Elephas maximus indicus: one gene and its partners. The protein of the gene in region 2 binds, or shares a complex with, the protein of the main gene of each other region. Links are inferred from orthologs where the notes say so. Each region holds a gene or a part of one and is shown on either strand. Other genes may lie near its edges.

Region 1 (8,007 bases), on a different chromosome or scaffold from region 2:
TCAGGACCTTGTTTTTGACAATGTATTTTTAGGTATGACACCAAAAGTATGAGCAACAAAAGACAAAACAGATAAACTGGACTTTATTAAATTCCAACTTAACATTAAAAACTTTTGAGCATTACAGGACATTATGAAGAAAGCAAAGAGACAACCCAGAGAATGGGAGAGGCTACTTGGTAACCACATATCTAATAAGGGTTTAATATCCAGAATATGTAAAGAACTCCTATAACTCAACAACAAAAAGGCAACCCAGTGAAAAAACAGGCAAAGTACTTGAATAGACATTTCTCCAAGGAAGATATACAAATAGCCAATAAGGACATAAAAAATGTTCAAACATCATTACTCATTAGGGAAATGGAAATCAAAACCACAGTGAGATACCAGCTCATACCCACTAGGACGGCTATTATCAAAAAGAAAAAAAATTGGAAAATGACAAGTGTTGGTGAGGGTGCAGAGGAATTGGATCCCTGTAGCATAGTTGGTAAGAATGTAAAATGATGTAGCTGCTGTGGAAAACAATTTGGTGGTTCCTTAAAAAGTTAAACATAGAATTACCATATAAATCAGCAATTCCATTCTTAGGTATATACCCAAAAGAATTGAAAGCAGGACTCAAATATATACCTGTATACCAATGTTAGAGCAGCATTATTCATAATAGCCAAAAGGTGGAAACAACCCAACTGTCCATCAACAGATGAATGGATTAAAAAAAAAGTTATATATATACACACACACTGGAATATTATTCAGCCATAAAGAGAAATGAAATTCTGATACATGCTATGACATGGATGAACCCTGAAAATATTATGTTGAGTTAATTAAGTCAGACACAAATGGACAAATATTATTTGATACCAGTTATATGAAATACGTAGAATAGGTAAATGCATACAGACAAAAGTTTATTGGTGGTTACCAGAGGGCGTGGGGAGGTGAGAATGAGGAGTTATTGCTTAAGGGGTACTTAGTTTCTGTTCGGGGTGATGAAAACCTTTTGGACACAAATAGTGGTGATGGTTGCACAACATGGTGAATGTAATGAATGTCACTAAATTATGACTCTGAATTGTGACAACCACTTAAAATAGTTGAAATGGCAAATTTTTGTTTTGTATGTTCTACCACAATAAAGTTTTTTTTTTTTTAAAGAAAAATACAGTTTGAGGGTAAAGGGACCTAAATAAAAATAAGATTTCTACACTTTAATGGAAGTGGTAAAATGTCAAGAACAGTAAGCTGTGATAAATTCCATATGTATATTTTAATACCTACAGCAAACACTGAGAAAACTATACAAGGTGATTGTCTTAGTTATCTAGGGCTGCTATAACAGACATACCGCAAGTAGATGGCTTTAACAAGGAGAAATTTGTTTCCTCACAGTAAAATGGGCTAAAAGTCCAAATTCAGGGCTTCGGCTCCATGGGAAGGCTTTCTCTGTCCACTCTGGAGGAAGGTCATTGTCCTCAATCTTCCCCTGGTTGAGAAGCTTCTCAGATACTGGGACCCCGGGGCCAAAGGATGTGCTCTGCTCCCAGTGCTGCTTTCTTGGTGATATGAGGTCCCCCGTCTCTCTGCTCCCTTCTCTCTCTTACATCTCAAGAGATTGCCTCAAGACACAATCCAATCTTGTATATTGAGTCCTGCCTCACTAACACAACTGTCACCCATCCTCATTAACATCATAGAGGCAGGATTTACAACATATAGGAAGATCACACAATACTGGGAATCATGGCCCAGTGAAATTGATACATACATTTTGGGGGGGACATAATTCAATGTATGACAGTGCTATTCTCAAAAACAGTATAAATAAGTCAAAATGAAATTCAGAAAACGTTCAATTAACCCATGGGAAGGAAAGAAAAGGGAAACAGGAGTATAAAAAACAGGGGAAACAAACAAAAAACAAATAATAAAATATCAGACTTAAGCCCGAACACATCAATAGAGCTAGGTGAAGATTTCTTTGTTATGATACCAAAAGCATTTTGCATTTTCATAAGTGCAAAAATTGACAAATTGTACTTCATCAAAATTATAAAATTTTGGTCTTCAAAATATCTTAAGAAGATGAAAAGACCAGCTACATACTGGGAAAAAATATTTCCAAAGCACGTATCTGAAAGAAGACTTACATCTATAAAAAAAAAAAATTTCATCTATAATATATAAAAAATTCTAAAATGTAACAATAAAAAATAATCCAGTTAGAAAATGGACAAGCTACATGAACAGACATTTCACTGAAGAGGATATACAGATGGAAAATAAGCACTTGGAAAGATGTGTAACATCATTAGCCATTAGGGAAATGCAAATATTACTACACACCTATAAGTACGGCTAAAATAAAAATATAGTGATGATACCAAATGCTGGCAAAGATGTGGAGAAACTGGGTCTCTCATACATTGCTGGTAGGAATGTAAAATGGTATAGCCAGTCTGGAAAATTGTTTGGCAGTTTCTTATAACACTTACTATATGATCTAGCAATTGCGCTGCTGGACATTCATCACAAAGAAATAAAAATTATATTCACACAAAAACCTCTACATGAATGTTTATAGCCACTTTATTCTTAAGCCAAAAATTGGAAACAACCCAAATGTCCTTCAGTGGATGAATGGTTAAATGAACTGTGGTACATCCATACCATGGATAGCAATATAAAGGCATGAACATGCAACAGCTTAGGTGGATCTTAAGGGAATCACCCTGAGTGAAGAAAAGCCAAACTCAAAAAGTTACATACTATATGATTCCATTTATGTGGTTTTCTTGAAATGACAAAATTATAGAGATGGAGAAATGTTAGGGGTTGTCAGGGGTTAGAGAAGAACATGGCTGTGACTTAGGGTAGCAGGAGGAATCTTTGTGCTACAGGAACAGTTGATTGTGGTAGTTACAGAAATCTACACATGTGATAAAATACAGAAACAGAAATGAGTACATGTACAACTGGCAAATCTGAATAAGGTCTGTGGATTGTACCAACATCATTATCCTGGTTTTGATGTTGTATTAAAGCTATGTAAGATATTACAATAGGGGGAAACTGTGTGAAAGGTACACAGGACCTCTCTGTAATATTTTTTGCAACTCTCTGTGCATCTATAATTATTTCAAAATAAGTTAAGTACAATGAAATGAGGTAAGTTTGAAGGACTATATTTTAGAACAGACACATTTGTGTATTATGAAAATAAAATTACATCTTTAATATGGAAAACAGGCAAAATACAAGAGCCTTGACATTATTTATCCTAGAAATGTAAATGAAATTGACTATATGAATTAATCATAACTGCACATAATATATTTCCAAACCCAGATAGGTAAATCAAGAAGGTCTGTTCCTTAAACATTTGCGTCAGGGTTCAACCAGAGAAGCAGAACCAGTAGGAGATAATAGAGAAATGTGATTTTATATATATCCCAAGCCCCTATACACACACGCATATATGAAACCCTGGTGGTATAGTGGTTAAGCACTACCGCTGCCAAAAGGTCGGCAGTTCAAACACACCTGGCAGTTCAAACACACCAGGCGCTTCTTGGAAACTCTGTGGGGCAGTTCTACTCTTCCTATAGGGTGGCTATGAGTCAGAATCAACTGGACGGCAATGGGCATATATATATATATATGCATATATATTCATTCATATATTTATATTTATTTAATTTATTCATTGCAAGCTACTGGTTTACACTACTGCGGTGGCTGGCTAAGCACATCCAAAACTTGTAGGGCAGGCAGGAAGGGAAGATCACGGGCAAGTTGTAAACCCTGGGCACAGACCAAAGCTGTCTGTCATCCATAGGCAGAATTTCTTCTCTTTTGCTCACATTCTTGGAAACCTCGGCCCTGCTTTTAAGGTCTTCCAACTGATTCAGTCAGGCTTACCCAAATTATCAGAATACTCTCCCTTACTTTAAAGTAATTGATTAGGAGTTTTAATTATATCTGCAAAATACTTTCACAACACCTAGATTAGTGTTTGATTGAATAACTGGGAACTGTAGCCTAGCCAAGTTGACACATCAGAAAGCCACACAATATCATAAACCATTTGTACTTGTTTTATTCTGGTAAAAGCAACCTTGGCTGTATGATTATAGCTAATTAAAGCGCAAACGACCTAAATCAATAGTGGCTGAAAATAAGTTTCATATATGAGAGTCCCACTTATAGAACTTTAGAGCTGGGGGGGATGGAGAGCTGCGCTCGTATTTCAACACAACCAAAGCACTTCCACGCCGTGCTACAGCACGCGCAGCAGGAAGGGAGAGGAACCTACCTGGAGCATAGCGGAGCGGGTGCCGGCTCACAAAGGGGGCGGAGCTTCGAGACCCGTGGCGGTCGCCGTGGCGCCTGGCCCGCCAGAAGAGCGCCGCCCGCAGCCGGCGAGAGCCAGTAGCGGAGGGTGAACGCCGCCGCTGTGGGAGGGGGAACGGGGGGGGGGTGGCGAGGAAGGAAAGGGAAGAGGCGGAGCGTGGGAGCGCACAGTGTCAGGAATACAATAGTGCTCCGCGCCGCCTCAGCTGCCGCTGCCGCCGCCGCTGCCGCCGCCCAACCGCCAGCGCTAAGGCCCTGAGGGGCCGGGAGGGCGAGGGCCTGAGGGCGGGAGCTGAGGCGCGGGGGGCGGCCCCGGCGGATCAGGCTGCCGGGGAGGAGGGGCGGGGGTAGGGAGGGGATTAGGGGGCAGGTGCGAAGGAGGGAAGAGAAGAAAGCAAGCGAGTAGGGGGGCGGGTACCACCCTCACCAGACTCGCCGGCACATTACTGGCCCCAGCGAGGAGACGGGAAGGAGCCGCGACCCAGCTACGCAAAGGTAGGCGCCACAGACGCCGGACGCGGTGCCAGCGGGTTTGCGGGGCGTAGCGTCGGGCCGGCAGCGGGAGTGGAAGCGGCCGGAGCGGAGCGTCCCGGCCGGCCTCGCAGCCGCTCCAGCTCCACACTGCTGTCGCGGCCGGCGTCCCCAGTGCCCTCGGGCCGAGAGCGTTCGTTACCAGGATAAGGTGCCTGGCGGCCCTTCTCCCGGCCCGGGCAGTGCCTGTCGACCGGCGCGGGGGCGCGGAGGGAGGACGCTCGAGCTCGACCGCAGCCCCTGACTACTCCCGGTAGGAATTGAGCGCCATATCTGTTGTGGTTCCCTCCGGTGCTCCCTCTCGCGCCCTCTCCTTTCCTGCCCTCTGCCGGCTTTCGGAGCTCACAGGGTCAAACCCCCGGCGGGAGGACCTGCTCTGCCGGCCGCGCTGGGCCAGATGCTCTGATAAAGCCAGGGAGGACCGCCCTGGCTGTTTCGATATTGGGAGGCAGGAGGAACCGACTGCCTGGAGACGGGCAGACTGGTGGTGCGGGGAGCGGGCGGGGCCCCCAACGAGGCCCGGTGCCTACGGAGCGGGAACGCGGGCGCCCCGAACTTTCCCTCCCCCTCGCGTCATTGTTCGGACGCTGCCGTTCGGCTGCCGCCGCTTCCGCCGAGCGCTAGGCGGTCCTGGGAAAATCGTGAGGGCTTTCCAAGTCTTACGTGAAATTTTCCCACCTCTGGGCACGGCAAAGTTGTTAACTTTTCTGCAGCTATCAAGTTAGTTTTATTCCTTCTTCGTGGGGCAGTTAATTAAAAAGAAGAGCCTCTCCAATCTTTTTCTCTCGCCTTTTTTTTTTTTAAGTTGGATTTAAAACGCACAGGATAACCTAGGTTCATTATTTGTGAGGTGGGAAGGGGGCCGGATCTCGAATGAGTGACCGTAATGGTGGTATGTGAAGGCACGTTTAAAAGTTGATATTATTGTGTAACCCTGGGACATATGTAGCTCCTAGAGATTTGGCAATATACTTGTTTGGCCGCTTCTTTGACTCAGAAGAGTTGCAAGGAAATCCATGGCCTTAGGTGTGCGTGAGCTTTTCTTGATGTGTGATCGGTTATCTGAAGCTGAGGATGAGACACCACCACCACCTCCGCCAACCGATTGTGTGAGAAATCAAAACCGTGTTGATGGTGATTCCAGTGGCTTGGAGGGAGAGGCGATCTCATTCCCTGTATTCAGTCTGATAAAGATGACTGTCTCCTCTAAACCCTGAAATTAACGAAAAATGATTTAGGTAAAAGCTGGTTGCACAACATCTTGGCTTAGTTTGAGCAATCCCAAAATTCACTTTCCCAGAGTAGTTCTCGTTTTAAATACCTTCCCTGCAGCCGCTTCTTGTCAGCCAGAGGGAGAGAGTGAAAGCGTAGTTGGCCTGAACAAAGCATTGCATTTTTATTTAGTTTAATACTTTCATAACATCTGTAAACAGAGGGAATGTGAATCCTGGCCTTTGTATCCTTTGAGTAGAGTAGTTCTCATGCTTTTATAGAATCATGTGATTACTTTTTGGATGAGTGAAAATAGAATTTTTCTTTTTCGTTTGGCCTAGGAGTGTTTTATCTCCATAACGTATCATTTTCTCTCTCGTTTAAGGAGAACTCTGAGCTTAAAAAAAGATCCCTGGGGGCACAGTGGTTAAGCGCTAGGCTGCTAACTGAAAGGCGGGTGGTTGGAACCCACCAGCCACTCCACAGGAGAAGGATGTGGCAGTCTGCTTCTGTAAAGGCTACAGCCTTGGAAACCCTATGGGAGCAGTTCTACTCTGTCCTATAGGGTCGCTGTGAGTTGGAATTGACTCGATGGCAACAGGTTTGGTTTTTGGTTTTCCAAGCTTAAGTACCTGAGCTGTAAAAGGATATGACTACATGAGATCTTTGGGAAGTGCTTCTCGGTGCCGAGCACATACTAAGCTCTCAGTCAGCGTTAGCTCCAGTGATTGCCATGTTTTCTTCAACTTTGCTCTTCTGCACAGTTTTGTTTGCTAGAGAAGAGCTCTTAACCTAATATTGTTGCCTTGAAACAGCTCCTTGCATACTCCCTCCAGTCAGTTCTGGGGTGCAGGCCTGTTCTAGAATCCACACTTCCTATCTCCCCTCTTTTATGAGTCATATTGCTTTGGCAGTGTGGTAAGTGCCTTCTCACCTGTTGTTAGTTGCTGCGGAGTGGATTTAGACTCATGACTGTGACCAGTCTTGGTCACAGGTAGGGGAAAGTAGAGAAGGGCCTCCAACTCCTCCCTAAAGTGTTTGTGATTAGCTGGGAGCCAGCAGTGATTTGGAAGCACCAGACTTAGGGATGCCTGCTTTTGGGCCTGTAGAGGAGATTCCCAGGACCGGGACAGGTGATGGTACAGGGCTCTCATCATAGCTGAGAGCTGTGGATTGCAGAGTATTAAAATAAAGAACAAAGGATGTTGAAATGGGAGGTTGAGTATGATGCTCTCCTTTGATAATGCTTGTCTTTTCCCTCCCTTGTGATCCACCAGCCATAATGACCCATTTCTCCCCAAACCTGTACAAAGTCATCTCTTCTTTTTGCCTACTACTTTGAGGTCTGCCTGGATCTGGGCAGGTATTTATTTTTGGGGGGTGGAGTGGAGGAGGCAGGAGGCATCAGTGTTTGTGAAGACATAGCATTATAGACGACTCTTTCAAGCCTTGATCAGGGGTACAGAGATCAGGGCTAAAAATGAGGTTGAACATTATCATAGGACATAACACATCTACCTCCTCATCTACACCTCATCAAGCTCCCACAAAATAGGAGCAGAGGAAGGTAGAGGTCATATGCTGACTTATACTAAGAAAATCTCTCACTAGGGGATAAATTACCCTGATCTTTTTACTAGGTTAAGGGTAGGTGTTGGATCATGCACGTCTGGAGTGCTCCTGAAATAGCTTATATGGGGGGACTTGAGTGGCTCACAAGTTTCTCCCCGTTGTTTCAGTTACAGTGACTGGGAATGCTGAAGTATTCTGGGTTGGGGGGTGGGGAGGATCTGGGATGAGTGGGTAGAAGTCACGAATAAAAGGGTGCTAGCAAGTGGTCATTACAGACCAAGTAACTACCACTTTGAGTTTTCTGTTTTCTGGAATCTTTGTGACTCCCTC
Region 2 (7,501 bases):
ACCTCTAGAAGAGTCCAGGTTCCTTAGCAAGGCGTTCAAGATTCTTCATGAACTGGTTCCCAAAACCATTCCCACCTCTTCTTTTGGCAACTGCCCCAACTCCACCATGTGGAGTTGGTCACCCCTGCATACCATGCTGCTCCATATGTCTGCACTTTTGCACATGCTGTTCCCTTTACCTCAAAAGCCCCTATTCTCCATGTCCAATGGCAAACTTATTTGTCCTATGAAATTCCACTCTTTTCACAACTTCCACGAATCCTTTCCTAAGCCTTCCAGATGAAACGCCCACTTCCTCCTCTGTACCACTTCTGAATCTTGCTCAGCCTTCTATTTTCGTATGTAGTACTCTACAGTGTTTTGGAACTCTGAGCTTACTGGCAGGTCTTCCCTACTGGACTCCAAGATCCTTCAGGGGAAAAACAGTGTTTTGTCCATCTTGTTATGACTCAATGCTTGGTTTATAATGCCTGAATAATTACTCTGTGTCTGCTGAACTGAACTTAGGTTGAACAGACAAAAACAAACCATTGAGACTGTCCTGGATTGAATTGTGTCCCCCCAAAGTATTTGTCAACTTAGCTGGGCCATGATTCTCAGTATTGTGTGACTGTCCACCATTGTATGTGATTTTCCTGTATGTTGTAAATCCTATCATCATGGTGTAATAAGATGGATTAGTGGCAATTATACTGATGAGATCTACAAGATTAGGTAGTGTCTTAAGCCAATGTCTTTTGGGATATAAAAAAGAGAAGTAAACAGAGAGACATGGGGACCTCATACCACCAAGAAAGCAGTGCCAGAAGCAGAGCGAGTCCTTTGGACCTGAGGTTCCTGAGCTGAGATGCTCCCAGACCAAGGGAAGACTGATGACAAGGACCTTCCTCCAGAGCCGACAGAGAGAGAAAGCCTTCCCCTGGAACTGACACCCTGAATTCAGACTTCTAGCCTACTGGACTGAGAGAGAATATGCTTCTCTTTGTTAAAGCCATCCACTTGTGGTATTTCTGTTATAGCAGCACTAGATAACTAACACAGATAAAACAGATACCACGTAAATACATATTCACAAACATTAAGATGTATAACCATGATTAGGGTGAAAGAAATTATAAATAGCAGTAACAACAGCCATTTGTTGAGCAGTTATTCTATGTTAGGAAATGTACTAAGTGCTTTACAACAGTCATCTCTTCTATTCCTTACAACAACCCTGTGGGGTGGCCATTAGTATCCCCACTTCCCAGGTGAGAAAACTGAGGCATAGATCAATTAAAAAACTTACCCATGAGCAATACAGATAGAAAGCAGCAGAGATGAGATTCAAATCCAGATCTGACATCAAAGTCCTGAACTGGACAGTAAAAGGGCTGATAAATAAAATAAACAGGAGTTATGTTTCTAATTATCTGGCCAGGAAGGGGAGTGAGGAACAGAACATCTACCAATTGTACAAAGAAAAGTGTAACTATAGCAGCAAGGACAAAATCACATATCACTATATTCTCCTACCTTAAAAAAATAGCAGCAAGGACAAAATCACATATCACTATATTCTCCTACCTTAGGAAGAATAAATCAGGAAAAACTTTGAGAAGAAAGTAAATTTTAAAGAGAGTTGGGAGATACATCCAGGGAGGAAGAAAAGACTTTGTGAAGCTATAAAGGCAGGAAGAACGGTGGAGAGTGCCTCCATGAAGTCTTGTGGATGAGGATGGGCAAGGGGGCAACTGGTCAAAGGCTTTGAAACCAACCTCGATTTCTGCTTTGAACACTAACTGCACCACGATGAAAAATGACACACGAAGGAAAAGTTATATTTGGTTGAAAAAGAAAAAAGTTTCTAACATCCTCCCCACCCCCATTTTTACCATACCTAGCTGGTCTACTCTCATCTTAAATCTTAAGTACATATTCTTTCCCTCAGAAATGTATTTCTAGCCTACCGGTATTAGTTTTTTCATCTTTCTGCCAGAGTGTACAGTTTTCTCGGACCAGAACTATGTCTAAATGAAACTGTAAACTCTTCAGCATCAGCTGCAGTTTTAAGAGAATCTAGTGCAGGCGCTTAACTAATGTTTAACATTTGGAATGCTGATATTTGTATTATGAATGGTTAAGTTAGATAAGGTCTTATTGTAAAATACAAATTTCCAGGGAGGGAATACTTCACCATTTTTGAGTGTTAAGATGTGTAACATCTTAGAGACTATAAAATTATAACAATACTCTGAATAGCAAGCATTTACTATGGGCACAGAATGGTCTAAGTACTAGAATCGAGATAGGTTCTTAACCCAAGAAGTCCTTACCACTAGTAGGAGAGCCAGACATCCAAAAGTGACCTCAGGAACACACCAAAACCATTGCCATCGAGTCAATTCTGACTCACAGCGACCCTGTAAGACAGGGAAGAACTGCCCCATAGGGTTTCCAAGGCTTTTTTTTTTTTTAATCTTTATGAAAGCAGACTGCCACATCTTTCTTCTCCCGAAGAGTGGCGGGTGGGTTGAACTGCCCACTTTTCAGTTAGCAGCTGAACGCTTAACCACTGCCCCACCAGGGCTCCTCAGGAATACACCACTAAGTGCAAAATAACAGAGTAGTAGTGTGAAATAGAATGCTTAAGTGCTGAGGGGATACAAAGAAGAAATGTGAGCTACTTTCAAATAAGTTCTTATGTGCAGTTCAACCTAAGCAGGTCATTCAGAAATATTTATGCTAAATACTAAAATTCTAAATACTAGAAGCTGCCAGTGTCAACACCAGCCCACAACATCCCCAAGGAGAATGCTGGCCTAAGTGTCTGGAAATCTCACTCTTTAGAGCCCTCTGTTAGCACATCAATCCGAAGTTTACCTTCCGTTGCTTTGTTCTTTAGCTCTGCTCCTGGGGGAAATCTCCATCTTTCCCGGCCTCAGGTTGAAACTTGGGTCCAGGGTTCTAACTTAATGACTGAGCTAGCCCAGATTCCACCCAGTCGCTCTTGGCCAAGCCTTGGTCCTCTCAAAGGTTTTCCTCCAGAGAGATTCAATCTTCAACGCCTGCTCTCCACTTTCCAGCCTTTTCATATGCTCTTCCTCTAGCCTTTTACCCTTGACTAACTCCTTCCTAGCCCTCTCCAAAGTAGGCCCTATTATTATTATTTAAGATACTCATGCCGTTCTGAGATCCAGCTTCCCCAAAATATTCTTTCCACTCCCACCCTACCCCAACTCCTGGCTCAGGCAGCTGAATTTCTAGAGGTCGCAGTTCAATGCTTCTCCGACTCTTGTACGGCACCCTCACATCCACGTCGTATTTTCACTCGTGGTCACCCAGCGCTCTCCAAGCCAAAAATAGGGGAGGAAGGAGGTGGGCGCTCACCACAGAGCTAAATTGGGAATTCTGTGGAGCCACGGCTTCTGGAGAACGGTTTTGTCTCCTCCCGCGACATGAACGACAAACTTACTTGCAGTTCGCCAAGGGGAAGGACAATGTCTCCTTTACTAGACAGGAAACTTCCTGATGATGGAGGCTACCCTTTCATTCCTTTTACAATCCCCCATTTCCACCTCTTTGACACACAGGACAGCTCTTAAAACAGAAAGTTCTTTATCAAAATATCCCTTCCCAACTTTGAGTTTATATAATAAACGGAAACGTCCCTTAGCCAATTAGGCAACGAAGGGGTTAAATTTCAACAACCTGATGGATTCTGGGGATTTCCTACCTTTTCGCCATTAAATTAAAACTACTGGGAAGGAAAGCTTTGCCCAAGATAAAGATGAAAACCGTTAACGTCTACTCTTAGGCTTCTGCCCAAACAAGAACGGCTACCCAAGCCTACAAACGGCGCCATTAGCCTAACCAAAAATGGCTGGCCCCAGTTTCCACCAGCTATTTTTTATGCCCCTTTCTGCCCAACTCCAAAATGGCGCTCACTAGCCTCACCAAAAGAGGCGAGCAACACGCCCACCTCCCAGCACCCTCTTTGGCCCGAAACGTCAGGTGACGCGAACCCCAGCCGGAAGTGAAGGAAAAAGCGCCTCGGCCCGCGGCGCCTGCGCAGAAGACTCTAGACGCTGTGAGGCAAGAGGCACTTGGGATCGTCCGCAGAATTGGGACTGCTACAGAGGCCGCCACGGAGCCCGCCGGAGCTACCGTTCCTACTGCTGCCGCCGCCGCTGCCCGAATCGGAACCATCGGGCCGCAGCCGCCGGCAATGCCACGAAGGAAGGTGAGAGAAACGGGAGGGGAGGGATGGCGGGTTTCTAAGGCCAGTTGATTGAGCAACGTGACGCAGTTGGCCACGCCTCACAGTGGTTGGGTTCCAGCTTCCTGCTCCCTTGAACTTAGCTCAGCGGACCTCTCTTCTGGCCATACCCGACAGAAAAATGTGGGCCCGACCCTGGCCTCGGCCTGTGCTTGTGACTATTCCCGCCCTCTACTTGGCTGGATCGGAGGCGTTCTTACCGTTAATTGGCCGCTGAAACGTCTGGGAGCATATTGATTGGCTGGTGACACCGCCTGTTAGGGCTCAACGGTCACCTCCCCGCGTGCGGGAGCGGTGCCTGGACCGGCCCTACCGCGCTGCAACTGGCTGTAGGGAACGATCCCTCCTCTCTTCATTGGCTGCGTCGGGCCAATCTGTCCCGTGGGGGCGCGGTTTAGCAGGATTTCTATTGGGTGGCACGAATCCCCTCCTTTCCGGGTGGCGATGCTGTTGGTGTAGAGGCGGGGTTTTTGAGGACTTTTTTCCAGGTGGGTACAACAAAGCTGAGCGCTGGGTCTTAGGGAACCAGGGCGTGCTCCCAAGGAATACCGCTCAAGCTTGTTGAGTCTAAGACGTATTTTTCATCATTCGCTTTGCTCGGTGTAAGGGACTTAAAAGATGGTCTAGGAAACCCCTCCCCACACACTTTTTACATCTGAGTAAACAAAGTCTAGTGGTGTGCGCAAAAGCTCTCCGCAATGGCAGAACCAGAAAAAAAAAGTACACGACAAATCTAATTCAGCAATTGTTTATTGACTGCTTTCTACATGCTGGTTGCTAGAGATTCAAAAATTAATTTGACATGATCCCTGGTAAGGAATACAGACATAAATAACTAAAAGGATCTAGTGCTTGCTCTGTTTAGAGAAATACGTGGGAAGGAGGTGAGGGAGCAGTTAAGTCTGCTCTGGAGAAAGATGGAGGAGTACGCTGCCAAAGAGAAGGGCAGAGTTCCAGGATCAAGCCAGGGAGGAGTGGTCAGAGATGATCAGGAACTCAAATATCCGGGTAATTGGACTTGATTAAGACTCCACCTTCGTCCCACTGATTCTCTGTGACACTTTCCCATGGCCTCAGTTCACTTCTGGGCTGAGTTCAATCTGATTACCCTTAAGCTGGGTGATAGTCTTGCTTGTTTTTGCAAGAATTTTTATAGAGGCTTTCAAATAAATGTGTATAGTTTATGATGTCTCCTAAAATGATCTGAGCTGTAGGTGGTATTTATGTTAAGGCTCACCAAATGCAGGAATAGTATCAGTACCTTGCAATAGGTCCACAGTTCCCTTTTTTGCAATTCCCAAATACAAAGAGCAAGTTTTTTAGTAACTTGTTTGGTGACAAAGCCTGCCCTAAACTGTCTTGAGGCTATTTATGGTTTTTATGTATCTATTTAGTGTGATTGTATAGTTTGCTGTGGAAATAGTAATGTGTTGCTTATAGAGTATTTGTAGGATCTGTGCAAAAAGATTTTCCTTCCCAAAAATCTGTGCAAAAAAAGTATTTCTTTTCCCACAATCTATAAAATTATGAATTTGAAACAGCTGGCCCCCAGAGTTTTTAATAAAGGATCCAGGACTTGTAGTTTGAAGCTTTTTTTGTTTTTAGGAAGTATTCTTTTCTTTCTGGTTTAATAAAGGGTATGGTGTTAATACTCATTTGATGAAAGTTATCCTTATGGCTAATTACACCTGAGGACGCTAATAATTTACAAATGATCATTAATTGAAAAGATGATAAATCACCTCCGTGTTCGAATACCTTCTAATCTTCATTTGCCAGCTGCCTTTTTCAGCACTTTGGATATTCATGCAAAGAAACTTCAAGGCTAGATGACATAGAAGGAATTTGTATCTTTTTCTCTTTCTGCTTCAGTTCTCTTGAGATCAGTGCTGTGGACCATGCTATTTTGTTTTTTTGGTTTTACATTGTTTTTTAAAGTGTGATAGCTATCAATGGAGACTTTGAATAAAAGCTACTCTAAACTGAAATGGGGCCCAGCACCAACATTTTTCTCACTACCTTGAGCTTTCTGTAGGTGCATGGTTATGTCAGCTAGACCATTTTCAGTTGGGTATTTTTATTTCTAGTTTGTGGTACTGGTCTCCAAAGGGACTTGTTTCAGGATTAGTGATATTACACTGTTACCTGTCTGTTTTCATTTACTTAACAATGGCACATTACTTGTAGGTTGTTCCATATAAATGTCCTAAATAAAGGGAAATTGGCTCTGGGCTGGGAAGGGAACTGTTTGTGGAATCCTTTCTTAGGTTTGAACTTGATGTTTTCAGCATCATGGTACATTTTATTTCCAGTGTTAATACAGACCCACAGAGTAAATGCTTCTGTACTAATGTCTGGATCTATGGTGTTACAGAGGAATGCAGGCAGTAGTTCAGATGGAACCGAAGATTCCGATTTTTCTACAGATCTTGAGCACACAGACAGTTCAGAGAGCGATGGTACTTCCCGACGATCTGCCAGAATCACCCGCTCCTCAGCCAGGCTGAGCCAGAGTTCTCAAGGTAAAAGGCTTCATGCTTCCTGACCACTCCTCAGAGTTGACTGACTGGTTAGCACATTATTTTTCTAATAATGTGGCAACTGGTCTCTTGGCTTGGTGCAGATGACAGAATCTGGTGAACTACAAGGAGAATAACTGTACAAGTATCAGGTCATATGCAAAAGATGGAGCATAGTGTTCTTAAAAGGTGTCATTGGCCATGCCCTGGACATCTGAAACAGCTAGAAAATGCTTGAGCTCTGGGTGTCTTAAGGAGCCTTGGTGGTACAGTGGCTATACACTCAGCTGCTAACTGAAAGGTCAGCGGTTTGAATCCACCAGCTGCTCCAGGGGAGAAAGATGTGGCAGTCTGCTTCTGTAAAGATTACAGCCTTGGACGCTATGGGGCAGTTCTACTCTGTCCCATTAGGGTTACTGTGACTCGGAATCTGCACAGTACCAACTGGTTTGTTCGTTTGTTTTTTTTTTTCCATGTGCCTTTTGAATTACTGTACTTGATGACCATGGAGTTGCACAGCTCCTGGGGGGCACCATTTACAGCGTAGCTTATTCATAGCAGTCTTCTCTAAAACAGAACTTAGACTACATTATGAATGCACACCCCATCCCCTGGAAGTGTGCAGACTGATGACTTGCTGTGTGCTAACCTTCTTCACCCAAAAGTTGAGTTTGTTTCCTTTATTGGAAAATCAACAAGATAAACAGATAATCTTAGGTTTTTT
Region 3 (8,334 bases), on a different chromosome or scaffold from region 2:
TTTTTATAAATTATTTTTTTGCATTCGGAGAAACAAAATACATTTATCATACTAAAAAATTGTATCGCCACTCCTTATCCCCCTTTCCTATTTTTTTTTTTTTCTGTCACAGGTATTCACCTGCAAACACAGTATATATTTTACTTATTTTTTAAATAGTGTGTCTCTTTCCACTGAAAAGTAAGTTCCCCACGACAAGAGCAGAAATTGACCTACAACAGTGCCTGGCACAGGAGGGCCCTCCTCAATAAATGTCCATTGAATAAATGATTATATCTCCAAGAACTCTGTTTCATCTCAATTTTTTTCTGTAAAAAGTTAATGATTTGTGAGACTTTAATAAAGATTAAAGAGTTATAATTAGTCTTATCATTATGTTAACATTTCCAAGGTTAACCTTAAACAGTAGCAGAGGCCTGTGGGAACCTGAGGGCCTTAATAGGGCTTCCAGACCTCAGCAAGAGGTATCTCCCAAGGATCTTTTAGAGGCCCTAGGTCTCACCCAAAATTGGGGAACGCCTCAGAGGAAAAGAGGCACCAGTAAAATCCTGCTCAGTCTTGCCAAAATGGCGATCAGGCCCCTACCTCCAATCAAATACAACACTTTTTATTTCTAGCATTGTGGTAAATGGAAACCTATGTAGTTTCCATAGGCCTTGGGGTCAGCTGGACCCAGGTGCCCATTCTGCCACCACTTATAAGCTATGTGGCTGTTGATAAGTTACTAACCCTTTCTGAACAGGTAAGACAAGGTTTTTTTTTTTTTTTTTTTTTTTTATAATAACTTTTATTAAGCTTCAAGTGAACGTTTACAAATCCAATCAGTCTGTCACATATAAGTTTACATACATCTCACTCCCTACTCCCACTTACTCTCCCCGTCTTGAGTCAGCCCTTTCAGTCTCTCCTTTCTTGACAATTTTGCCGGCTTCCCTCTCTCTCTATCCTCCCATCCCCCCTCCAGACAAGAGTTGCCAACACAATCTCAAGTGTACACCTGATATAATTAGCTCACTCTTCATCAGCGTCTCTCTCCCACCCGCTGACCAGTCCCTTTCATGTCTGATGAGTTGTCTTCAGGGATGGTTCCTGTCCTGTGTCAACAGAAGGTCTGGAGAGCATGACCGCCGGGATTCCTCCAGTCTCAGTCAGACCATTAAGTTTGGTCTTCTTATGAGAATTTGGGGTCTGCATCCCACTGCTCTCCTGCTCCCTCAGGGGTCCTCTGCTGAGCTCCCTGTCAGGGCAGTCATCGATTGTGGCCGGGCACCAACTAGTTCTTCTGGTCTCAGGATGATGTAGGTCTCTGGTTCATGTGGCCCTTTCTGTCTCTTGGGCTCTTAGTTGTCATGTGGGCTTGGTGTTCTTCATTTTCCTCTGCTCCAGGTGGGTTGAGACCAATTGCTGCATCTTAGATGGCTGCTTGTTAGCATTTAAGACCCCAGACGCCACATTTCAAAGTGGGATGCAGAATGATTTCATAATAGAATTATTTTGCCAATTGACTTAGAAGTCCCCGCAAACCATGTTCCCCAGACCCCCGCGCTTGCTCCGCTGAGCTTTGAAGCATTCATTTTATCCCGGAAACTTCTTTGCTTTTGGTCCAGTCCAATTGAGCTGACCTTCCATGTATTGAGTGTTGTCTTTCCCTTCACCTAAAGCAGTTCTTATCTACTGATTAATCAATAAAAAAACCCTCTCCCACCCTCCCTCCCTCCCCGCCTCGTAACCACAAAAGTATGTGTTCTTCTCAGGTTTACTATTTCTCAAGATCTTATAATAGTGGTCTTATACAGTATTTGTCCTTTTGCCTCTGACTCATTTCGCTCAGCATAATGCCTTCCAGGTTCCTCCATGTTATGAAATGTTTCAGAGATTCGTCACTGTTCTTTATCGATGCGTAGTATTCCATTGTGTGAATATACCACAATTTATTTACCCATTCATCCGTTGATGGACACCTTGGTTGCTTCCAACTTTTTGCTATTGTAAACAGAGCTGCAATAAACATGGGTGTGCATATATCTGTTTGTATGAAGGCTCTTGTATCTCTAGGGTATATTCCTAGGAGTGGGATTTCTGGGTTGTATGGTAGTTCTATTTCTAAGTGTTTAAGATAACGCCAGATAGATTTCCAAAGTGGTTGTACCATTTTACATTCCCACCAGCAGTGTATGAGAGTTCCAATCTCTCCGCAGCCTCTCCAACATTTATTATTTTGTGTTTTTTGGATTAATGCCAGCCTTGCTGGTGTGAGATGGAATCTCATCGTAGTTTTAATTTGCATTTCTCTAATGGCTAATGATCGAGAGCATTTTCTCATGTATCTGTTGGCTGCCTGAATATCTTCTTTAGAGAAATGTGTGTTCATATCCTTTGCCCACTTCTTGATTGGGTTGTTTGTCTTTTTGTGGTTGAGTTTTGACAGAATCATGTAGATTTTAGAGATCAGGCGCTGGTCGGAGATGTCATAGCTGAAAATTCTTTCCCAATCTGTAGGTGGTCTTTTTACTCTTTTGGTGAAGTCTTTAGATGAGCATAGGTGTTTGATTTTTAGGAGCTCCCAGTTATCGGGTTTCTCTTCATCATTTTTGGTAATGTTTTGTATTCTGTTTATACCTTGTATTAGGGCTCCTAGGGTTGTCCCAATTTTTTCTTCCATGATCTTTATCGTTTTAGTCTTTATGTTTAGGTCTATGATCCACTTGGAGTTAGTTTTTGTGCATGGTGTGAGGTATGGGTCCTGTTTCATTTTTTTGCAAATGGATATCCAGTTATGCCAGCACCATTTGTTAAAAAGGCTGTCTTTTCCCCAGTTAATTGACACTGGTCCTTTGTCAAATATCAGCTGCTCATACGTGGATGGATCTATGTCTGGGTTCTCAATTCTGTTCCATTGGTCTATGTGTCTGTTGTTGTACCAATACCAGGCTGTTTTGACTACTGTGGCTGTATAATAGGTTCTGAAGTCAGGTAAGGTGAGGCCTCCCACTTTCTTCTTCTTTTTCAGTAGTGCTTTGCTTATCCGGGGCTTTTTTCCCTTCCATATGAAATTGGTGATTTGTTTCTCTATCCCCTTAAAATATGACATTGGAATTTGGATCGGAAGTGCGTTAAATGTATAGATGGCTTTTGGTAGAATAGACATTTTTACTATGTTAAGTCTTCCTATCCATGAGCAAGGTATGTTTTTCCACTTAAGTATGTCCTTTTGAATTTCTTGTAATAGAGCTTTGTAGTTTTCTTTGTATAGGTCTTTTACATCCTTGGTAAGATTTATTCCTAAGTATCTTATCTTCTTGGGGGCTACCGTGAATGGTATTGATTTGGTGATTTCCTCTTCGGTGTTCTTTTTGTTGATGTAGAGGAATCCAAGTGATTTTTGTATGTTTATTTTATAACCTGAGACTCTGCCAAACTCTTCTATTAGTTTCAGTAGTTTTCTGGAGGATTCCTTAGGGTTTTCTGTGTATATAATCATGTCATCTGCAAATAGTGATAACTTTACTTCTTCCTTGCCAATCCGGATACCTTTTATTTCTTTGTCTAGCCTGATTGCCCTGGCTAAGACTTCCAACACGATGTTGAATAAGAGCGGTGATAAAGGGCATCCTTGTCTGGTTCCCGTTCTCAAGGGAAATGCTTTCAGGTTCTCTCCATTTAGAGTGATATTGGCTGTTGGCTTTGCATAGATGCCCTTTATTATGTTGAGGAATTTTCCTTCAATTCCTATTTTGGTAAGAGTTTTTATCATAAATGGGTGTTGGACTTTGTCAAATGCCTTTTCTGCATAAGACAAGGTTTTTGTAAGGATGAAATGGAAAGGCTTGCAATGCACAGCACACAGCAGGTGCCCTATAAATGGTCTTCCATTTCCCTAGGTCATTTTATAAATGTGTGCCAAGGTATTTTCCCATTCCAGTTCATGGGAACCTGATGGCTAGGAGGAGGGAGCCTGACCTGTCCTCTCCTGCATATAAATGCTCTGCAGCCAGACCCAACCAGAGCAGACTCCCTGGACTCTGCCACTGTAGTCTGGCCCTTCCCTCCTCCTGCTGGGCCCTAGACAGTGTGGCTGAAACTACCGTCTGGACCTTGACCATATATTATGGTTTTCTCCCCTGGCCTTTTCTTTTGCTTACACTGGGAGATTTTATGTGTGTCTTTATAGAGAGAAAAACAGAAATTATTGTCCCCAGTTTTCCAGTGTTAAGAGCTTTCAGAAAGTATATTCACCCTTCCAAACATCCACACCAGAGAGAGTGCAAATATGGCCTCAAGAACCCTCGAATCACTCCATTCTACAGATGAGGAAAAAGAGGCCCATTCATTTGCCCATACCACACAGCTTCTGCTGAATGGCAGAGCCAGGATTAGAACCCAGGAATTTTACCATTTTGCTACAGTACCACAACCCTGACACCTGTTTCCAGGCACTGAGTTTGGGCTTAGGAAAATTCTGTCAATTGCCAATGAGAGCCAGAGCCAGGTCTAACCAAGAAGTGATACCCATTCCCTCCTCTTGCTAGAGGAGCCTCCCCAGACTTTGCCAATGTAGGCCAAGGATGAGAAATGTTGCAGTGACTCCCTTGAGCTCATATTTCTTTCTTGTTGCAAAAAGTGCTTATTTCAGCATTCATCATCTCCCTCTTTGTTGTGTAGACAATCTGCCCTGTCAGAGGATTTGTGCTGTTATTATGAGTTTGTTTATTATTAGATTTATTTCTCCTATAAGCAAATGTGTTCACAACATTCCATCGGGGAATCTTCTTAATTGTCACATAAATGTCATTTCAAGTGAACTGAATATTTATCTTTCCATAGAAGGGTGTGTAGAGGGGAAAGAAAGAATAAACAACCCTCAGTCTTGGAGAGAGAAGGAGGTTCCCGTACCCATTCACAACTCACCCACGTGCCTTCAAAGCCAAAGGTGAGCTGAAAAAAATTCTTGGATCATCTTTGAAGGGCAGCCAAGAAGGGGGGGGATAAGTTGGCAGTGATGCTTTGGGGATGTTAAGCCGAGCTCCCAGGTCTCCCCCTTCTCCTCCCCCGCCCGACACCAGACCACCCCCTCCCCAGCTAGGGGGCAACCGGAGGAGGCTGCAGCTCCATCCAGGAGACCAGCCTTTCTCCTTCCTCGAGAGAAGGTGAGCGCGGCGGGCGCAGCAGGCTGGGTGGGTGTGGCTCCGGGAACGGCCCCAAGGCCCAGCCACCGCCCGCGAGCCGCCCGCCCGCCCGCCCGCCCGGCGAGTGCAGGCTCTTCTTCCAGAAACTGCAAGGATCGAGCGCACTGTTTGTGCACCACAAGGTCAAGTCGGGAACTGGAGCCGGAGGAGGAGGGACGAGGAGGCGAGGGGTGGGGAGAGGGGCGCCCCGCTTCCTCGCCAAGTGCCAGTCTTTGGAAGTTGCCCCTCGGTTTTTAACCCTTTAGGGGGCACTGGAGAATGGGGTGGTGACCACGGGGGACGGTGTTACCCTGGGGTAAATGAAAACTCCTACCGGGGTCAGGACGTGCACCCACCCACCACCCATCACCGCGTTCCCCACCCCCCGGAAATGCGGGGCAGCAGTGGGCACCAGGAGGCACCCTAGCAGGGGGAGGGGGCGACGACCCCGAGAGGGACCCTCTCTACGGACCGCCCCTCCATTCTTGAGGTCGCCCATAATTTCAAGTTTCCCCCGCCCGGATGTTAGTTTCCATCTGCTGTGGGTGGAGGAGGAGGGCCGCGCCCCCTCCTCTAGACTCCCGCGTGCCCCTCCTCTCCGCTCCTGCCCACACTTTCTGCTCACTTCTGGTGCTGCAAAACGCCACGCGATTTATTCGATTCGTATTTTAAAACCAGCGATTCAGGAGCTGGGCCTAGGGCGAGGGTCTTCTAACGCTGGTTCCCCGGGGGGCGGGGTGCTCAGTGCAAACCTCGTTCCCTCCGCGAGTGTCGCCTTCAGGCTGTTATTTGCAAAGAAACGTCTTTTTGACGCAGGGAGAAATGGCAAATTTTAAGTACGTCATTAATATGGCGCCAAAAGATTTTTTTAAGTATAAGCTTGCCTTTTTTTTTTTTTAAGGTTGCGGGGGGCGCCGCCCGGGTCTGGGGAGCGAAGGGGGCGGGGTGTGAGCAGAAAGTGTGAGTGAGAGAGTGGAGGGGCGGGGTATGTATGTGAGTGTGTGAAGTGTGAGCAGACCTGATGGGACTTGCACGGGCGCTGCTGCCGCTCGGGCCCTGCCCTGGGGACAGGGCGGGCTGGGGGCGCCCCAGAGCCCGTGGGGAGTCCAGGCCCGGGGTGTGGGCAGGCGGCGGCCCGGCAGAGCACCCTCCCCCTGGGACGGGTAAAGCTACCTGGACCCGCTGCGGGAGCCAAACTGGGCGGGGGGAGGGGGAACGGACGATGGGGGCTGTCGGCAGAGATCGGAGTGAATAAGAAAAAAGTGGCTACTCCCCCTCCCTCGCTCCTCCCGCCCGCCCCCACCCCCACCCCAACACATTTTTTTTTTTTTCTAAAGAGATCACAAGGAAGTCTTGGTTTAAAAAGAAACAGAAACATACACAGGGGGTTGGTGAATGGTGCCGACCGCGGCCATCGCAGTGGGAGGCTATTTTGGGGGGGGGTAGTAGCGTCCATGGAGTTACTTTGCGCCCACTCATAACGGCGCCGGCTTGGGTCCGGCGGACCGACAGTCCTCTGCAGGGGCGCGGGGCCGGGGACGCCGTGGGCTGGGTTGCCTCCCTCGCCGCGACCCCGGATGGATGCGCGCCCCCCGCTCGCCCGCGCCGGCCCGAGGAGCTCCGGGTTTCGGGAGCATCCTTCCCGCTTCGGCCCCCGCCGCGGCGCGTAGCCGAGGGCAGCGCCCTTCGGGAGGGCATCACGTTGCAAGGTAAGATCCAGTCCCCGGCGGATGGGCCCTGCGCATCTCCACGGCGTTATTTTGTGTTTTTGCAACAGATCTGCCAGCGCTCCTTGCTCCCTCGCTCTCTCTCTTGCTCGCTCGCTCCCTCTCTCTCCTGCTGGCTGCCTGTTCTAGGAAGCCAGCGCGCGGGGGGTGGGGGGGATGCACAGCACAGGGGAGAGAGATTGCGCATGTTGGTCAGTCGTGTTTTAAAGAGTACAGTGCGGGGAGGCTGAGAGGGGCGCATGCAACAACTTTTGGAAGGGTGAGCTTGGCGACCTTCTTTATTAATGACTGCGGCAAAGCGCCCCCGGACCGGCGAGGGGGCGCGGGCGGGCGGGGGCGCGGCGGGGCTGCAACTTGCCCCGCGGGTTCGGGCCGGGCGGAGGAGCTGCGGCGGGGTAAGGGTGCGGGGGGAGGTCAAGTGCCTTTTGGGGGGGAACACTCGGAGGACCCGGAGCTATCTGCCCTCCTGTCGCCCTGAGTTTCATTTTGTTGATACGCAGCACGTCCGGGCGCCGAACCGGGTTGACCGGTGCACATGACCCCGCGCAGGGCTCACGTGCAGCGGGTCCGGCCCCAGACACCTTCCAGGGGCCACAGCCTCCGCCCTGTCTCCCCCTCTCTGGGCTGGGTGCACGCGGGGGCAGCACGCGGGGGCAGCATGCTCGGCTCCGGGGCGCGGAGGCTCTGCACAAATTAGACACAGTTTTTTGGAGGGGCGTGGGACACCCTTTCCAGGTGAGTGTGGATGGTGCTCGGCCCCAACGTAGGGGGTGCAGGCTGGGGTCTAGAGCAGCTCCCCCTCCAGGGCTGCGCGGGAGTCCAGCGGGGGAGAGGCGCTGGGAGAGTGGAAATGTACCGGCGGCGGCCGGAGCGGCGGGTGCGCGCCCGCGGGGCGACGGCAGGGGGCGTGGCCCTTGTTTACCTTCTCCCAACTCTGCTGGTTCGCGTCCCGCTCTGGGGACGGCTCTGCAGTCCCCTGCCCTCTGCCTCCGCCTCTGCGCCCTGGGTGGTACCAGGAAGATGCAGGCAAGCGGCAGCCCCTGCCTGGGACGCACACACCTGACCCCCAAATGAGTGATACTGCAGCCCCTGCCCCCACCAAGCACCGCTGCAGTCCCTCTGCCAGATCCCCGGCCCCGCCCCCGGCAGTGGCATCTTCCCGGCCTCACCTCCTTCCTCCCTCCCTCCCTCCCTCCCACCCACTCGCCTGCGTCTGCGGAGCGGCTCCCGCCCGCCGCCTCCTCGCCTGGGTGCAGACTTCTAGCACCCTCCGGTCCCTTCCCGCCCATCCCTGAGCTCTGAGACAACCCCTTCTCCCGACTATGGGATAGGAGGGGTTAGCCTGGCGAGTCTCGGCTTTCTGTCGGAGTATGGGGATGTCTGTGAAACCCGCAGGAAGGCTTCACTCTAGCTTCCAGAGGCCCAGGAACTCCCCCCACCCT
Region 4 (7,716 bases), on a different chromosome or scaffold from region 2:
CTAGACTGTGAGAAAATAAATTTCTCTTTGTTAAAGCCATCCACTTATGGTATTTCTGTTATGGCAGCACTAGATGACCAAGACATATACATTTTAAACTATTTTTTCTATCGATTCTAAAATCCTTTATCCAAATAATACAAGCTTAGTGGACTTTCAGGCCCCTCCATGCCTCCCTCGCCCCATGCTGTGCTGAGTTTGTCTGGGAATTTCTTCCTGGAATTTTAACAGTCAGAACTGGTTCCTTTGCTGGCATCCATGTCTTACTCTTGGGTTCACTTTTCGTTTCCCTAGAGTATGTGCTTTAGCAAGTTTTTAGAGACATGGTGGGGGGTAAATGCTGATGTCTGCAGGTCTGTGAAGACACCCTTTATCTTGCTGTCTCACTTGAATGCTAGTTTCAGTACATACGGGATTCCAGGTTCAACTTCAGAATTTTCAGAATTGCTGTTTTGTGGTTTCAGTCTTAATAACTCTAAAGAAGATCCTTTCCCTCTGTAAAGTGGCAGCGTCAGACCTTGTCTAACTTCAGGAGGAGGAGAGAGAATCACCATCAGCCCAAGGCTGATTCCCACGAGGAACCCTTTTTACCAACCCTTTTTACCAACTCTGACACCATCCTTCCTGCCCATGGCACTCTCACTTCTCTGCAGAGTTCAAAAATTCAGTTACAACTCCGGGTTCAGAATCAATACGGCAGTAACAGGGACAACTCAGGGTACAACTCGTCCATCAGGACAGCTTCTCCACCTTGCCTAGGCAGGCCTCTGCTGCTGGGCAAGTCTTACAGCTCTTTAGCTCGCCTTTAAGGGCCCAGGGGCACCCCGTCCCGCCAGGAAGCCTCATGCCTGAAGGCGCTCAGCTCTCTTGCTCAGCAAGTCCTCTGCAGCCATCTGCTGATCCTGCGATGCTGCTGCTGTGCTCTCTCTTGCTATCTCACGCTGCTGCTGTGTGCGGTGTCACAGCTCTGTCTCCTGGTTCTAGGAGGCTCTCAGTGCAGGAACCCTGAGTCCAGAGGACACGCTTTGCTTCTGGCTCTTCTTGATGACTGTGAGGTCTCCCCTCAGTCTCTGGGATTTGCTTTTTATAAACCTAGTGGGACAGCAAAACTGCACTATCCCCTTGGTGGGATGTTGTTAGGTGCCGTCGAGTCGGTTCCAACTCATAGCAGCCCTATGCACAACAGAATGGAACACTGCCCGGTCCTGCGCCATCCTTACAATCGTTGTTATGCTTGAGCTCATTGTTGCAGCCAATCCCGGCAAGCATTTTACATGCCTTATTTACGTATCATTTGGAAACCCTGGTGGTGTACTGGTTAAGCGTTCGGCTGCTAACCCAAAGGTTGGCAGTTTGGATCCACCAGGTGCTCCTTGGCAACTCTTGGGGGCAGTTCTACTCTATCCTATAGGGTTGCTATGACTTGGAATCAACTTGACGGCAATGGGTTTGGTTTCACTCAATCATTTCGCAGAAGTTACAAGACCATGGCTAAAAGGATCATATAAAAGCAATTCACTGCACTGAACCCTCTGGAAGTTTTTGAGCTATTCTTTTTTAAATTAAAAAATTTTATTGTGGCAAGATGTATATAACATAAAATTTGCCACCTAATCATTTTTAAGTGTTCAATTCAATGGCGTTAACTATATTCAAAATGTTGTGCGACTGCCATCACTCTGTTTCCAAAACCTTTCATCACCCCAGAGAGAAACTCTACCCACAAAGCAGTAACTCCCCATTCCCCCCTCCTTCCAACCCCTGGTCACCACTTCTGTCTCTAGGCATCAGCCTATTCTGTATATTTCACATAACTGGGATCACGTATTTGTCCTTTGGATCTGGCTCATTTCACTTGACATGTTTTCAAGGTTCACCCAAGTTGTAGCACGTATTAAAATTTCACTCCTTTCTATGGCTCCATTGTACACTCCTATCACACTATGTTTATATATTCATCTGACAAGGGACAGCTGAACTGTTCCCAAGTTTTGGCTATTGTGAATGATGCTGTAGTGAATGTCGGTGTACAAATAATCCGTTTGAGTTGCTGCCTTCAAGTCTTTTGAGCGTATACCAGGGGTCGAATTGCTGTGTCACGTGGTAATTCTACGCTTACCTTTTCGGGGACCCACCAAACTGTTTCCCACAGAGGCTGCACCATTTTAAAATCCCACCAGCAGTGGACGAAAGAGCTCGTTTCTGCACATCCTCTCCAACACTTGTTATTTGCTGTTTCCTGATACTGGCCATTGTACTTGGAGCTATTCTCTTTGTTCTTGGAAGTCCAGAGCGTCACACTGACATGCCTCTATGTGCGTCTTTTCCTTCACCCCTCCTGGCCATCACTTTGGCTGTTTGTTGAGAAGTTACTGTCCCCACGACTCTCTCCTGTTCTGTGGAAAAGGACTCCACGCGTGTCTTTTCATCTTCTCCTCCACATGACAGTCTGAGTTTTGCTCTCTGCACATCGTCCAGCTTGTTGGTTTGTACCTGGTTTGGCCAAGGTGAACAAAGGCACCTGGAGGAGATGAGGGTGTGGGCCCCGTTCGGCTATCTTCCACTGGTGGCTGCCCTGGCACATGTGGACTCTGACAGACACACATCTGTAGAGTGGAGGCGAATTCTGCAGCTCCTGCTGGTGTGTGGCTCCTGGGTCTGGTGTAGGAACCAGCTTTGAGGTGAGACCCTGTTTAAGGCTGACCACAGGGTGACTTTGGCTGCTGTCCTGACCCAATCTCCAAGCCTTCACTTCCCAACCCATAAACTGAGCACAGTAAAGTCCATTTACTGGCCAGTAGGCCTGTGGCACTTTGGCCCTACCTGGGACACTTGGTGGACAGGGCCTTCCTACTCCCAATAAGGCATTGGATGGAGGCCCTTGTGGTGGACCCTGCCCTGCCTGTCCACGTGGAGTAAGGCAGCCTGTCCTGGGGCAGGGTAGGCCCTCTTCTTCCCCGCTGCCACAGGCTGGGCTCTCCACACAGCCAGGAGCTCCTTCACCCCTACGGGACTAACTGGGAATCTTCCCAGGAAACCAAGGAACCACTAGGTTTCCCTCATGTCTCAAAACATTTTGGGACTTAATCTCAGGATGAAAACTGTCATGCCCTCATTGGATTTTAAATAGCAGCCAGTTGGGAGAGTAGGACTCCGCTCTCAACTCCTGCCCCAAGGGCTGTTTTCTGGAGAATCTTAATATGGTATCTGGCTGTTTTACTGATCCTAGGTAAGGTGTTCAGGACCTAATTAGTCCCATATTGGGTACATAACAGTTAAAAGAAAAGCGGGGGCTTCCTCTATCTCCCCTCAGGGGCCCTCTTTTGGTCCTCCTCCTCCAGCCTGGGAATCTTTAGCTCCCCACTCCCCCACCTTCACCTGGCACCCTCTTCCCTGGTCCAGCCCTCCGTCTCCCTCATTGCCCCAACCAGCACCCCACATCTGGCTCTCCCTCAGGTTCCCACACCTACCCGGCACAGCCCCCACCCAGTCACTCCCCTGTGGTTACTCCCCTTGCTGGTGCTCTCCACTCCCTGCCCAGGCCCCCTTCCCTCAGTTCTCATTTCTCTGACAGGGGTCCCCACCCCGGACTCATCACCCCCTTAGGTAATCCCCCTTCCTCAGCTCTCACCCCACTTGGCAACCCCTCAGGTTCCTCTCAATAACCCCCTTCCCTGGTTCTCCTCAGTCCCCCACCAGCGCCCCCACCCCAGTTTGGCCCCACTTCAGGTCTCCCTCCTCCATGCAGCTGCCCCCTCTCTCCACCCCCTCAGGTCCCCCCAGCCGGTCCAGGCTCCTCCCAATGGCACCCACTTAGGTCTGCCCCTCCTCAGGTTCTCCTCACTCCCCGTTCGGGGTCCCCACCCCGGTCCAGCTACCACTTCCGGTGCCCCCCCAGGTCCCCTCCACCCTGGTAAGCCCCCACTCAGGGCCCCCTCTCAAGCCAGCCCACCCCAGCGGCGTCCCTTCAGTCCCCCCCTCCCCAGCCCCCTCAGGTCCCCCAATCCCGGTAAGCCCCACTAAGGCTCCCCTCAGCCCTGCCGGTGTCCCTTCCCAGCGTCCCCTCAGGCCCCCCAGTCCCGGTAAGCCCCCCCCGAGGCCCCCCTTGCCTCCGTGGGCGCCGCCTCAGTTTCCCCCTCCCTAGCCCCCTCGCCTCGGCCCCTTCAGGCCCCTCAATCCCCGTAAGCTCCCAGCCAGGCCCCTCTGCCCCGCCGGCAGCCTCCCGCCTCGAGCCCGGGCCGCGCGTCATGGCGGTGGCGGCGGCGGGGCGGCCGGGGCGGGGCGGCGGCGGGCGGGGCGCGTCTGCACGCAGCGCGCCGGGCGGAGCGCTCGCCGCATTGTTTGCTTCGCTGGGGAGCGAGCGAGTGGCCCGGCCCGGGCGTCCGAGCAGCCCCGCGCCCCGCGCCCCGCGCCCCGCGCCGCCGCCGCCCCGGCCGGGCCTCCTCCGCGAGCGGCCTCCCCGAGCCGGCCCCGAGCCGGCCCCGAGCCGCTGCCTGAGCCCGCGGCCGCCCCGCCGGGCCCGGAGCCGCCGCCGCCGCCGCCGAGAGGAGCCCGCGCCCAGGAGCGGCGGCGGGGCCGGGCCTGCGCGGCCGTTGGCGGAGGAGCCGCGGGCGCCATTAGCGCCGCCTCGGCCGCGCCGGCTCCCCGCGCCGCCCGCCCGCCCGCCCGCCCGCCCGCCGGGCTCCCGCGGTCGCGGCGCCCCGAAGGTGAGTGGCCGGGGTCCGGGCCGGACGCCGCCCCCCGCCTCGCGGGCCGCCGGCCCCGCCGCCGCCCTCGGCCGCGGCCTCTCGTGGGCTTGTTGTGCGGACGCCATGTTTGGCGGCGCATTGTCCGCGGGCAGGGCCGGGGCGGGCGGGGGCGGCCGGGCGGCGCTGTCAGCGGGGCCGGGCGGCCGGGGAGGCGACGGGGAGGCCGGGGGACGGCGCAGGCCCCGGGCGTCCGGCCGCGGCGGCCCGGCTCGGCCCTGCCCGCCGCCGCGTTCGCTGCCCGGTCCCGCCGGGGGCCGCGATGGCGGGTCGGACGCTGCCGCTGAGGCCGCTGCTGGCGGCGGGAGCCTGGGGGGCCGTGGGCTCGGGAGGTCGGCGCCTTTTCCGGCCCCGGCCCGGGGAGGAGAGGCTCTGCAGGCCGGGCCCCGGGAGGAGGAGTGGGCCGGGCCCTGGGAGGAGGAGTGGGCCGGGCCCCGGGAGAAGGAGAGGGCCGGGACCCGGGAGGAGGAGTGGGCCCGGCCCTGCCAGTGGTCAGCGCCGAAAGCCTCGGCCCGGAGCCTGCACCCAGAGCCTGCACCCACGGTCACGTTCTAATTACGGCCAGGAGAGAATCTCATTGTGCTCCCCGTCGGTTGCATGCATATCTCTTTGACGTGCTGGTTGCATTATGTAAAACTCTGTTTTGCCAAGACAGGAAACTCCCTGTTAACAGGGACGTGCTTTGAAGATTTCTTAACAAGAAACGTTGGCAAACCTCTGCGGATTTTCTCAGTCCCATGCTGTGCAACATTTGCTGGGCTCGATAAGTTGGGTGTAGAGATGGTCTCAGGAGCAAGTGGCTATCAGTCAGCCATTCCTGCAGATTTGGGACTCGGGATGAAGCACTGGGTAGCATTGTCACTCAGCACCTGGAAGTGAATCGGCATCCTGGCTTTCCCGGGCCTCTCTCGAAGAAGTAACTTTGTGGAGGTATAACTTACGTATATCTCTTAGTAGTACACAGTTGAGTTTTGACAAGTGTGTGTACATCCAGGAAACCACCACTCCCATCAAGAGCATTCCCAGCACCCCAAAAAGTTTGCTCCTGCTTGGGTCTATTTTTAAGGGCTTGTCACTGCTTAAAATATAGTTTATGAAATCCTGGTACTATATATTTATCTGGCTTGGTACCCAGAGTGCTCCTTAGAAGTGAGGATGGCGAGAGTTTGTCTCACAAACTCAGGACATGTTATCACCAGGGACCAGTCCCTGGAGAAGGACACCATGCTTGGTAAAGTAGAGGGTCAGCGAAAAAGAGGAAGACTCAAGATGGATTGACACAGTGGCTGCAACGATGGTGTCAAACACAGCAACGATTGTGAGGATTGTCCAGGACGAGGCAGTGTTTCGTTCTGTCATACGTTGGGTCGCTAGGAGTCAGAACTGACTGGATGGCACCTAATAACAGCAGCACCTGTGCTGCCAGGCACTGTTCTTAGTGCTCTGTATGAACCCATTTATTCTTCACACAGCTCGATAAGGTGTCTGTTCTTCCCATTCCCACTTTATAGCAGAGCAGGCAGTGGCTAGGGGGATTTAAATGACCTGTCCAGAGCCAGGCAGGGAATAAAACTAATTTGAGCAATGTGAGCTGATACCAGTCTGGCGTTTCCTGTCCTTCGTGGCTCTGCAGGATGGATTTAGCAAAATTATTTCCCAAGACACATGCACACACAGTTACTGTCCTTGCTGATACTGTCCTTGCTGATCCCCTTCTCCTGCAGTGCTTGTCCCTGTACAGAGTATGGAGGGAGCTGAGGGCCAGAGACAGACCTGTGGCTCAGGGAAATGATGGGACAGTGAGGCCTTGTGTCGTCCTGAGCTGGACCCTGCTGCTAAATGCCTTTTTCCCTGGTCACAGTTATGCTTCCAAATTACAGAGCTGCTGTCACCATTAAGTGTTAGGTTAAATTCTTCGTGTAGAATGTGGTCAGATAAAGGGTTTCAGTACCCATTTGGGAGGGTTTAGATGTTGAAGGGCTTATTATAGTTGGAGTTTGTTGGTGCTTTGCTGGAGAGGAGAAAATTATACCTTTGTTTTTAATCTGGCGAGTAACCAACTGTTGCTCCTGCCCCACCTCAGTAATGACACTGTGAAGCTATCCCTGGGTGCGTTAGGGTCCCCTCCTTGAAGGCTGTGGTGCTGACATCCTGGGGCTGTGCCTAGCTCCACTTGGGAGGCATTTGGGCTCCTGCTGGCTGGTGGGCTCCTCTGGCTGTACCTATGGGCGTGCGTGCTGGTAGAGGGGGCTCTGCTGACGGCCCAGAGGAGATCCAGGATTGAGGGGCACTGGGGGGCCCCTCAATTGCGGGCAAATTGGGGTTGGCTGACTATGGTGTTTGCCATTCATAGAAATTCCTGTGTCGTCTCAGTATTAGAGGTGGGTTTCTTGTCGACCAAAGAATAAGAAAACCATCATCTGAAGGGCCTGTCTTAAACAGTGTGCTCAGGATCTGCTGGGATTTCTTTTTGGGACCTAGGAAGTGCAGTCAGCTTGAGTCAGTGGGAGGCTGTGGATTCTGGCTCCCAAGGTGCCCCTCGCCACCTCGACGTAGCCAGCCAGGCACAGCAGCCAGGCCCTGGGTTCTGTACGGAGTATCAATGAGCTGATCTCTTAAAATTATTTTGCTTCCTGTAAATAAAATGTTCCCAGGGAGAAGTCCGAGTGGTCTTCTCGTTGGCGCCCAGCACGTACCCCAAGGTGACACCCTGCTCGGCACGTGGGTCCAGAGTTAGGAGGCATCTTTATCAAGGAAGCCCTAGAAACAGGCAATATTCAGACAGTGAAGGGATGGGGCGCGCTCACTGATTTCGTCCGTGTCTGAGAAGAGCAAATTCTCATAAATCTCTACGGTTACCTGTTCAGGCACCTGGGCCAGCCACCAGCCTTGTGGCATGGGTGGCTGCATGGTGGGGGCTCTGCAGCAGGTGGGGAGCCAGTCCGGACCAAAGCTGAGCTCTGCGGAACTG

Evidence for each region.
Region 1: KAT7 (region 2) and JADE3 share a complex: the UniProt entries of both Homo sapiens proteins name them as parts of the HBO1 complex. The link is inferred for Elephas maximus indicus from reciprocal best matches to the Homo sapiens genes KAT7 and JADE3.
Region 3: KAT7 (region 2) and JADE2 share a complex: the UniProt entries of both Homo sapiens proteins name them as parts of the HBO1 complex. The link is inferred for Elephas maximus indicus from reciprocal best matches to the Homo sapiens genes KAT7 and JADE2.
Region 4: the proteins of KAT7 (region 2) and BRD1 are in contact, whole or in part, in a crystal structure (PDB 5GK9), measured with the Homo sapiens proteins. The link is inferred for Elephas maximus indicus from reciprocal best matches to the Homo sapiens genes KAT7 and BRD1. Residues at the interface, in NP_008998.1 of Homo sapiens: Leu531, Phe534, Gly536, Lys537, Glu538, Ile539, Ser540, Ile541, Lys542, Pro552, Val553, Val556, Gln560, Leu565, Tyr567, Lys571, His572, Leu573, Val574, Leu575, Lys576; in XP_047297239.1 of Homo sapiens: Val40, Ile42, Glu43, Ile44, His49, Arg50, Ile51, Ser52, Ile53, Phe54, Asp55, Pro56, Leu57, Glu58, Ile59, Ile60, Leu61.

The regions. Positions count from the first base shown.
Region 1 is NC_064846.1:125,005,951-125,013,957, reverse strand, and holds the start of JADE3 (protein Jade-3), read left to right. Parts: upstream 1-4,717; 5' UTR 4,718-5,146; intron 5,147-8,007. UniProt on the Homo sapiens protein: Scaffold subunit of some HBO1 complexes, which have a histone H4 acetyltransferase activity.
Region 2 is NC_064837.1:43,821,172-43,828,672, reverse strand, and holds the start of KAT7 (histone acetyltransferase KAT7), read left to right. Parts: upstream 1-4,037; 5' UTR 4,038-4,207; coding exon 4,208-4,222; intron 4,223-6,632; coding exon 6,633-6,780; intron 6,781-7,501. UniProt on the Homo sapiens protein: Catalytic subunit of histone acetyltransferase HBO1 complexes, which specifically mediate acetylation of histone H3 at 'Lys-14' (H3K14ac), thereby regulating various processes, such as gene transcription, protein ubiquitination, immune regulation, stem cell pluripotent and self-renewal maintenance and embryonic development.
Region 3 is NC_064820.1:146,948,631-146,956,964, forward strand, and holds the start of JADE2 (E3 ubiquitin-protein ligase Jade-2), read left to right. Parts: upstream 1-5,248; 5' UTR 5,249-5,308; intron 5,309-6,518; exon of another isoform or gene 6,519-7,173; coding exon of another isoform or gene 7,174-7,576; exon of another isoform or gene 7,577-7,627; intron 7,628-7,814; coding exon of another isoform or gene 7,815-7,951; intron 7,952-8,334. Other genes in the region: WW domain-binding protein 11-like, read right to left, coding at 7,174-7,576, 7,815-7,951. UniProt on the Homo sapiens protein: Scaffold subunit of some HBO1 complexes, which have a histone H4 acetyltransferase activity. Acts as an E3 ubiquitin-protein ligase mediating the ubiquitination and subsequent proteasomal degradation of target protein histone demethylase KDM1A.
Region 4 is NC_064822.1:195,899,582-195,907,297, reverse strand, and holds the start of BRD1 (bromodomain-containing protein 1), read left to right. Parts: upstream 1-4,667; 5' UTR 4,668-4,706; intron 4,707-4,987; exon of another isoform or gene 4,988-7,716. UniProt on the Homo sapiens protein: Scaffold subunit of various histone acetyltransferase (HAT) complexes, such as the MOZ/MORF and HBO1 complexes, that acts as a regulator of hematopoiesis.